Arabidopsis thaliana: one gene and its partner. The protein of the gene in region 2 purifies or fractionates together with the protein of the main gene of each other region. This does not show direct contact. Each region holds a gene or a part of one and is shown on either strand. Other genes may lie near its edges.

Region 1 (6,114 bases), on a different chromosome or scaffold from region 2:
ATTGTGTGTCCTGATGATTTCCAATTCACAGCAACAACATAGGACATTCATTCAAATGGGGACGATTCTCAAATGCGTGGATAACTCGTGTGCTAAAGAGGTGATGTGCATTCAATCCCTGAGAGGTAAGAAAGGAGCAAGACTTGGCGATATCATTGTTGGTTCAGTGAAAGAAGCTAACCCAATTGTTCAAAAAAAAGTAAAGAAAGACGCTATCCCAAAAGGTAAAGTGAAGAAAGGGATGGTCGTGTACGGTGTGGTTGTGCGTGCTGCGATGCCTAAAGGACGTGCTGATGGAAGCCAAGTCAAGTTTGATGACAATGCCATTGTAGTTGTTGGCATTAAGGAAAAGAAAGGGCAGAATAATTCACATGGTTCCAAGAGGAAAATGGAGTACAACCAACCGACTGGTACCCGAGTGTTTGGTCCTGTCCCGCACGAGATGCGCCTCAGGAAACAGCTCAAGATCCTTTCTTTGGCTCAGCACATTGTTTGAGACAATACACCACACTAAAACATCAGTTATGATCTCCTTTATGTGACTCTCTTTGATCCATTCATCACTTGGGTTTCTGTTGATTCTTCAACTATCCAACTCATTATTTTTGTTAATTCTAATGAATTATGAAACCTTAACGTACCAATTATGATCTCTTATTTAGGTTTCTTTTAATTGTTAAACTCTACTCTCTTAGTAAAAAAAGCAGGGGAAATAGCTTTAAACAACCATCCTTCTCCAAACCCTTCACTTAGTTTTCATGTTTGATACAGCATCCCTCATTAAACACTTTGGAATCAATATTACCTGTTGTATAACAATAACAATAGAAAAGACAATAATAACTCTTTCACAACAAGTATTTATATATAATAGATTACAGAAAAGTATTAAGGTGAATGTGACATAAATTTCAGTTACAATTCCTTAAGCCACATCTCCAATATTACAACAACATATCCACCTACAAGACTCCAAAGTAAAAACATTTCTTCTCTATTCTTCTTATACATAACAAACATACACATTCAAGTCCATGAGAAAAAGGAATGGACTTCAGCTATGCATCAAGGTCTTAATTCTTCTTCCCCCCAACATTTCACTTCTTATTTTTATGTAAACTTGTGGAAATTTTTTCAATAAATAAGAAATAATAAAATTATAATAGTGTAAGAGCTCGAGCATACACTGTTTCAAGATCTGGTCTTGAACTTTCTTTGAGCTTTCAAGTCGATCACTATGATTGAGATATTGTCTTTGCTTCCCATTTGAATAGCGAGTTTGGAGAGATATTCAGCCGCAGCTTGACACGCTTGGTCTTCTCCTACACCTCTCTCAGCTAAAGGCAATGCTCCATTCTTCTTGTGCCAAGCCAAGATCCGCCTCCTCGCAAAATCGCAAGCTTCTTGGTTACTCATTACGTCCCAAAGTCCATCACTGGCCAATATTAGACACTCGTCTTCTCTAGCTCGTGGCATAAACGTCACTTCGGGATCTGGTATTACAAATGGCTCCAGATATTGATCACCTGAAAACGATGCAGATTGAAACCCACTTTCAGGAGATCTCATGATTTTGCAGAGACTGTAACAGGTAGTAATGATCCTCATCTCTAAATAAGGTTACTGAATGTTTAATTTATCGATAATTTTGACCTATAAAACTCTCTTCATATTTCTGTCACTAGGCAAGATGGAAGACATAAGTGCAAGTTTGACCTACCGATGGACCTGGACATGGCAAGAACGCCAGAAACACGAGCGCCTTGCCATTGTATAACTTTTCCTCCAGCTTTCTCTATTCGTGCATACTCATCCTCTCTATCTGGCTGCAGAGAAAGGGTAAGAAATTTCATGAATTAGAAATAAGAAACTTTCTCAGATTGTGTTAAATTATTTTAGAGGGAAAGAGAAGATTTTTTACTTTGTGATCAACTGATAAAGGCATGGAGTCTTTGCCTCGGAGTAAAACTGCTCTTGAGTCACCACAGTTTGAGACTATTATATGCGATGAACAAACCAAAGCAACCACAGCAGTCGATCCAACGGTTTCAGGGGAAACAGCTTCAAGAACCATCCTATCAGAAGAACCAACAACAGGTCTGTTGATTTTCCCTTTAACCTCATCATCGACTTTTAGGTAACAATCTACAAAGACTTTCTCCCACTGGACCTGCCTACCCTCGCCAGTGTTCCTCCTACACAATTCCTCTTTAATCCGTTCGATTTCTTCAGCCAAAGCAGAGTGGATTCTATCATGGCAATAGTCAGCAACCTGCAAGAATCCGATTTCCACCAAAGCCGTCATATATTACATAACAACCTGCAAAGAATCCCGTTTCCAGCAAACCCTTTATCATATATACATACAACCTACGTCAACAAAACATAAACTCATGTATCTTCCGGGTTCATAGTTGAATTAACTTTCTACTGCTAAAATCAGTATAAGGATTTACGAACTACAGCATACCTGAGCGCCTCCGTGGCCATCATATACACCAAAGAAGTGACTAGTGAGATATGGGAGACTTGGACTCATCCCTTCATGATCCCCCATAAGCATTTTGATGGGTATTTTGAGAAAATGAGGTAAAGCTCTAACAGCATCCTCCATTTCAGATCTTCCACCGCAAATTGAAATCGTGCCCCAAAGAGGTATACACTCTAGTTCATAAACACTCCTGCTTCCTCTTGCTACATTAGGATTTTCTTCAGGTAACCTAATGACTACCTCAGAAGTTGCCACCTCCATATTCACATCGTGATTCAGACTCGCAATAAGGACTTCTGCAGTGGGAACCTGTTCTATGGTTGTCTCGTTTAGGATAATGGCCGTAGCAAGAACTCGCCCGTTATCAGTTTCAACTGTATCTGGCAAACTTATCTCAGACCTAGCGTCCACAACTATTAAACCTTCGCTAATAATAGTCGCATCAGATACTAATGGCTCATCTTCTTCTGATTCCTGGACAGTTACACTAAAATCAGAAGACAAACTTCTCACTTCAGATAAAGTCTTCTCTTCTGAAACACTTCCCATAATACAATCCACCACTCCATTACTATATCTTTGTCTTTTCTGATTACACAACATGTCAGCTGCATCAGTAACATTCTCCAGCTCGGAGATATCGAAAGTAGATGAGATTCCAGAGTCACACATCGTATTAGCTAAACCCAAAGTAAGTGCAACTGCAGGTGAAATCTCTTCCATGAGCTGGTATGCAGCTTCCAAACCTCAACTGGAGCAAAACGATTCAAAAAACTTCATTTTCTTCTCTAAGCTATAGTCTGATGAACTCTACATCCAATTCAGCTTCCCACCGAGACCCACCAGCCGTTTATTCTCACCAACTAATCCAGAAAGCAGTGAATGACGAAGAAGTATGTACCTCCGCTGAACAGATCTGACGGATCTATGAAGACGGATCCTTTGTGAATTCGTGGGATTTTGATCACTCTAACGATCCTCTATAACTCTTGATCTTCATCGAATCAGAAAGACAATAAACTCACACAAACCCTAATTTAGAAACCCACAAAAAAAAAATCAGCCTTTTTCAGATAGATCACACAAGAGAGCAGAGAGAAGACACAAAGGTGAAAACTTTATCCAAAACAAAAACAAAAGTCAGGTGAAATTGAAGAGAAGGGACAACAAACAGAGAGAATTGATATCAATCAGCGAAATGAATCACAAAACACACAGAAAAACCTAAAAAAGTCGAAACCTTTATCTCTCTTATCTTTCCAAAACGAAACGAAACATGGGTTCTCCTGGATCTAATGAGGTTTTTACCCAAAAAATAAAATTAGAAAAATTATAAGCACTCCACGGAATCCCAAGTTTCTTTATGTGACAACGACCTTCATTATTAACACGTTGCTCCAATCAATTATAAAACTAATTTATTAATCTATTCAATAATGGCAACATAGATGACGCGTGTCCTTCCCTCTTAAAGGTCAAGTCTTCTGTTTATTCTTCTAATTTAGTTTTTTGATCCAAGATTGAAAGTATGTTCATGACATATGTTCATGCATCTCATGACACATGTAGTGTTATCATAACGTGGTTAAAAAATAGACAACGAAAGACTTTTCTCGGAGACCAAAGTTTGAAATGGGCCTACATTAAGGCCCAGTCAGCGTCACTTATATGGGCTCTAGCGTCCACTTGTTTACATTAAGGTAAGAAACTTCATTAGCTCTGTCTCAGCTTTTATACTTTCTGATCAACTGATAAAGGCATGGATTCTTTGCCGCGGAGTAAAACCACTCTTGAACCACCACAGTTGGAAACTATGATATGTGATGAGCAAACCAAAGCAACAACAGCAGTTGATCCGACGGTCTCAGGGGAAACAGCCTGAAGAACCATCCTATCATCAGAAGAAACAGAACCAGAAACAGGTCTGCTTCTTCTGTGGCCATCATAAATTCCGAAGAAGTGACTAGTGAGACATGTGAGCGTTGGACTTATTATCCCTTCATGATCACACATAAGCATTCTGATAGGTAGTTTGAAAAATGAGATAAAGCTCTAACAGCATCCTCCATTTCACCGCAGATTGACACAGTGCCCCAAAGAGGTATACACTCTAGCTCATAGACACTCCACCTCCTTCCTCTTTGCTACATTATCATGATGACTTGTAGTAATAAGGACTTGTGTTGTGGGAACCGCATCATCATTCAGGATAATGGACGTAGCAAGAACTCGCCCATGATCCTCTATTCCACTTCCATTGTAGCGTCCACAACTATTATTAAATTCCACACTCGCTTGTACACGGCTGTTTGTTATACGAAAATCATTATTAGCTATATATTATATACTCCATATGGTTTCTTTGAAATATCAAAGGTCCTCCTCATCAGCGACATGAATCACACACAAAAGACAAAGTCCTTCAAACTCAAACCCTTTTGCCCTTTCAAAACCAAACAGGTTACCCCAAGATATTTAACACGTTCGTCGAAACAATTATAAAACTAATTTCAACCTTTGGATTTCCTCATGGTCTTCTTCTTTCTTCTAAAAGATCAAGACTGCCTATAATTCCAAATTTATCTAGTTTACATATATATCAATATAAGATGCCATTACACAAATCTAAAAATAAAAAATCCTCTTTTTGTCTACAAGATATGATATGGAATATCCTTTAAAGATAAGTCGTCAACTAAAATTAAAAAAATCCTCTTTTTGTCTGCCTCTCTGTTCGTTATGACTGTTTAGATTGTTGGAGAAAAGAAAAACCTTCTAATTTTAGCAAAGTGCCAAAACCATTATAAGTTTAAATTTTCTCAACAAACAAAACAGCTCTCCTCTCCTCTTCTCTTCTTAATTCCTTGTTATCATTTTCATTATCATTCGGTCTCCTTATTTCCTCCTTCTGAGGGTAATTGAAAGACCGTACCACAATGTCTTTCTAGTTTCTCCAGAAGCAAAAGTTTCCAGCAATCATCTCGAGGGCTGAGAAACAATGGCTGCAAGAAGACTCAAAGGAAAAGACAGCAAAGCAGTTACCGCCATAGCCATTGATAAAGATAAGAACAGCCAACACGCTTTGAAATGGGCTGTTGAGAATATCATCATCGATTCTCCAAACTGTATCCTTCTCCATGTTCAAACCAAACTGAGTACGTAATGGCATCATCATCATCATCATCATTGTTATCAATCCATCAATCTAATGAAAACTCTTGAAACAGGATTTGGGGCAGGAGAAAACACAGAAGCACCACATGACAACCAAGAAGAGGCGCATCAGTTCTTCCTTCCCTTTAGAGGATTCTGTGCTCGGAAAGGGGTCAGATATCAACCTCTCTTTCTCCTTACAACAATCACATATATATATATATATACACATAGCTCTCACCGACCTCATTAATTATATATTTTCTCTCAGATTATAGCAACGGAGGTTCTTCTTCACGATATTGACATCTCGAGTGCAATTGTTGACTACATCACCAACAATTCCATTTCAAATATAGTCATTGGAGCCTCTGCTCGAAATTCTTTCCTCAAGTCTCTTTCTTTCTCTCATATAACCTAAACTGTAATCTTAATCTGAATGCTAAATCCTATAACTCTCTGTGATTTAT
Region 2 (3,369 bases):
ACTCCATTAGTTCAACAGCTCAATGATTCAACGGACATCATAAATTCATAACCTCCGAACAGATTTGAGTCAAACGGCCATGAAATTCACGAGATCTACAGTTTAGGTCATCATACTTTCTGTTCTGAGTGTAAAATACCTTCCAACCTAATAATATTATACTAAAGTATTGATATTAATTAGTTTAGAACTTCAAATTAAGAATCTTACATGATGCCCTTTTACTATGCATTATGCAAAATGGACAAAGAATTATCAAGAAAATTTTCAAACATGTATTTAGTCTAACTTTTGTTGTCAGCAATACAAATCAGTATATTTAGTAACTAAACCAACTGAGTCAACAATTTAAAACCATTATTTCAAAGATTCCTAATTGTAAAAATGTAGAAATAACCTTCATTTTATTTCTCTTCATAAAAGAGTAGGAGAAAAGAGACAATTACAATCACGGAAGAAAGAAACCACACGAGCATATTATTCCGATTCTTTATATTTTTATTATTATTATTGCAATGCTAAAAGCCTTAAAGATTAAAAACTAATCCATAACGATCCATTTTTTTCTTAATCCAATGATTCATAACTATAACTACGATTAGTTTATTGATTAGCTTAAACATATAGAGCTTACTTCATCATTTTCTTTGTGAGCTTAGCAAGTGAAGTAAGGTTATACCGAATAATGTTATCAACAAAAAATATTGTATCTTCCTCGCTAGTTCCTTCCGGCACATCCACCACGTAACTCTCCACCACCACCGTCTTCTTTGCCATATCCTCCGGCGACGCGACCACCTTCGTTTTCGATTTGTAATTAACAAGCCTATGGTTACCGCCAATAATACTTACCACCATCACGTGAGACTCATCATCTAGCTCTTCGAGCCTCTCCGTGCTGAAATCCGCCGGGAAGCCGGAGACTAACGTCACGTCCCGGACGGAGCCTTTTCCTTCTCCTCCTTTGCCGCCGCCGCCGCCAGAGCGCATGGTGCAACTTTTGACGAAACGTTGATAAGCTTGTGGTTTGTCGAAACTACGTAGGATGGACCACACTAGTGGTAATGGTGCTTCAATGGTCTCGACTACGCTAGAGCGACATCGTTTTTGCTTAGAACTTTCCATTTTCTGTTTTGTTTTTCTAATGGGTTTGTCTTTTATCGACGTGTATTTTCGTGTCTTACTTTAGAATTTTCGTATTCACTTGTTTTAAAGCATATCGAACGAATCTACGTACATATAAATGAAGGCAAGCCACCGACTAAAATATTTTTATAGTGTTTTATATTGTTTAATTTATTTACGAATTCTTCATGTAATATTAAACTTTAGAGTTCGATTCGAATTCTTCTTACTATATACTAACCAAAAAACATTTTACAATATAAACTTGTACACAAGTATTGACTGCCTTGTATAGTGAAAAATTACACAATCTTGTTGGCATATTTAGAAACTTTCTTTTGCTTTTTGATAAAAGGCTTGCATATTCTGGAACTTGGTTTTATCAAAAAGATTAACAAAACCATCTGTGAAGGGTATTCTGACAAGAGTGATAGGGAATATGGTTTTAACAAACCCTCTTTGAAGGTTTTTCTTTTGACTATATCAACCATTTAAACAGAAAGAGAGATATACGAGTATCTTTTCACGAAGAATTAAATATCTTACCAACTGATAAAAATTACCAATATTATATTAAAATCTAGTCGGTCTATTTTGGAAATTTGCTGCAGCAATGTTTTGGAGCTAAATATAGATAGATGTGTCATTGCCCACGAGGTAAATACAGATGTCATTTAAACCGGAAAAGCACACAATGGAATTTAGCGAAACACACACTTGTTTACAAACATAACAGTGTTTCTCTTAATTGGTTGCCGACCAGAAAAAAAAAGAATCCAATCTTTTTTCCTTCATAAGTGTAATGTTCTACGTATCCAATCCGAGAGCCATGCAAGTTCTACATATCCAGGGTAGGCATATTCAATGTTCCATCAGTCTATTGCCTATTAGAAATAAGGCCCGTATAAGCCCAAACTTTAATGATGATATTTTCCATTTATACATTTATGCTTCACCCCACACAGCACAAAATCCATTCTGTTTTGGTTTTGGGTTTCAAACTATCCAGTCCGTTTGTTAGTCCTTTTCTTGGCTTTGGTTTTATGTTTAGCCTTCCTAGACTAAGATCATGTTTAACGGCCGGCATTGTGTCACCTCCATGGTTATATAAATAACAAAAGTTTTAGATGAAAAAAAAAACTCAATTCCAATGTGTAATCTGTAAAGACATGAGATAAAATGTAATAGATTTTTTTATATATATTTATAAGTGGATTATAAAGGTAAATTGCAAATTAAAAATGGGTAAAGATATGAAGTAAAATAGAATAGATTTCCATAAGTGTATTATAAGAATAAAAATAAAATACATGGAACAAATTATATTTGGATTTAAGTATTAAAAATATGACTTAATAAACTTATAAAATTCAAATTATTCTTCTCTTAGATATCCATCTCGAGAAACATGGACATGATGACTATTTAAAATCCAAATTTTCATAAATTGCGTCTTAGAGTTGTAGCATATATGGGAATTGAGCTCAAGCTGAAATATATACATATATTGTTGGGGCTCACAAGTCACAATCAAAAACAGAATCGCAATTTTGGTATTTCTCAAACTTGCTTTCTTTATGGTAAGCAAGTGAAACCAATGCCCATTGCCACCCTCTGAACAATCTTATCGGCACCATTGATAAATTGTTTTGCAACCGTATCACAACTTTCTGTGTTATTAAGAATAAAAAAAGTTCGAAGGTAATGGAAGTTGTTCTAACAAATGGAGTTCACTACCTTGTAGGTTAATAAAAAAAAAACCTTTGATTGAATGTCTATTTATCCGGTCTAACAGAAAAGAATACGTCAAATTTTTTATTTTTTTTTATCTCTATCAGTAAAATTATTTATTGATGATCAACAAATTTTTACACTCAAAGAAAATGAGACGGGCGCAAGTAAGCCGAGTTAATTAGCAACTACAGTAGATATGATAGATCAAAACTTCCGATTTGTAACAAACCGATACTTCCAAACTCATGAATAACATATAGTATACTAGTATATAAAGAAACAGGGCAACATGGAATCATATTAAAACAAGCTTATGCTAAAACTCATGGCTCCAAGCCATCATTATTAAATACTATGGTCTATGGCTAATATATAGCTAGCTACAAAAGCTACAAACATATATTAATTGACATATATGTACATCACTATATATAGCCTCTCTCCGGATTCTAGGGTTTCGGAAAACTCTTTCTACCGACTCGATCGTTTTAACTTAATCAATTGCCGGTT

What was found. Proteins that work in one complex are often made in the same cells at the same time.
Region 1: the proteins of PYL13 (region 2) and HAB2 fractionate together in Arabidopsis thaliana (co-fractionation; one study listed by BioGRID). This does not show direct contact.

What each region holds. Positions count from the first base shown.
Region 1 is NC_003070.9:6,032,017-6,038,130, reverse strand, and holds HAB2 (homology to ABI2), read right to left. Parts: upstream 3,862-6,114; 5' UTR 3,215-3,861; coding exon 2,471-3,214; intron 2,273-2,470; coding exon 1,922-2,272; intron 1,827-1,921; coding exon 1,721-1,826; intron 1,527-1,720; coding exon 1,192-1,526; 3' UTR 733-1,191; downstream 1-732. Other genes in the region: HLL (Ribosomal protein L14p/L23e family protein), read left to right, coding at 32-496; AT1G17545 (Protein phosphatase 2C family protein), read right to left, coding at 4,223-4,543, 4,622-4,824, 5,007-5,022; AT1G17540 (kinase with adenine nucleotide alpha hydrolases-like domain-containing protein), read left to right, coding at 5,490-5,646, 5,719-5,816, 5,916-6,037. UniProt on the Arabidopsis thaliana protein: Key component and repressor of the abscisic acid (ABA) signaling pathway that regulates numerous ABA responses, such as stomatal closure, seed germination and inhibition of vegetative growth.
Region 2 is NC_003075.7:10,252,115-10,255,483, reverse strand, and holds PYL13 (PYR1-like 13), read right to left. Parts: upstream 1,126-3,369; coding exon 631-1,125; downstream 1-630.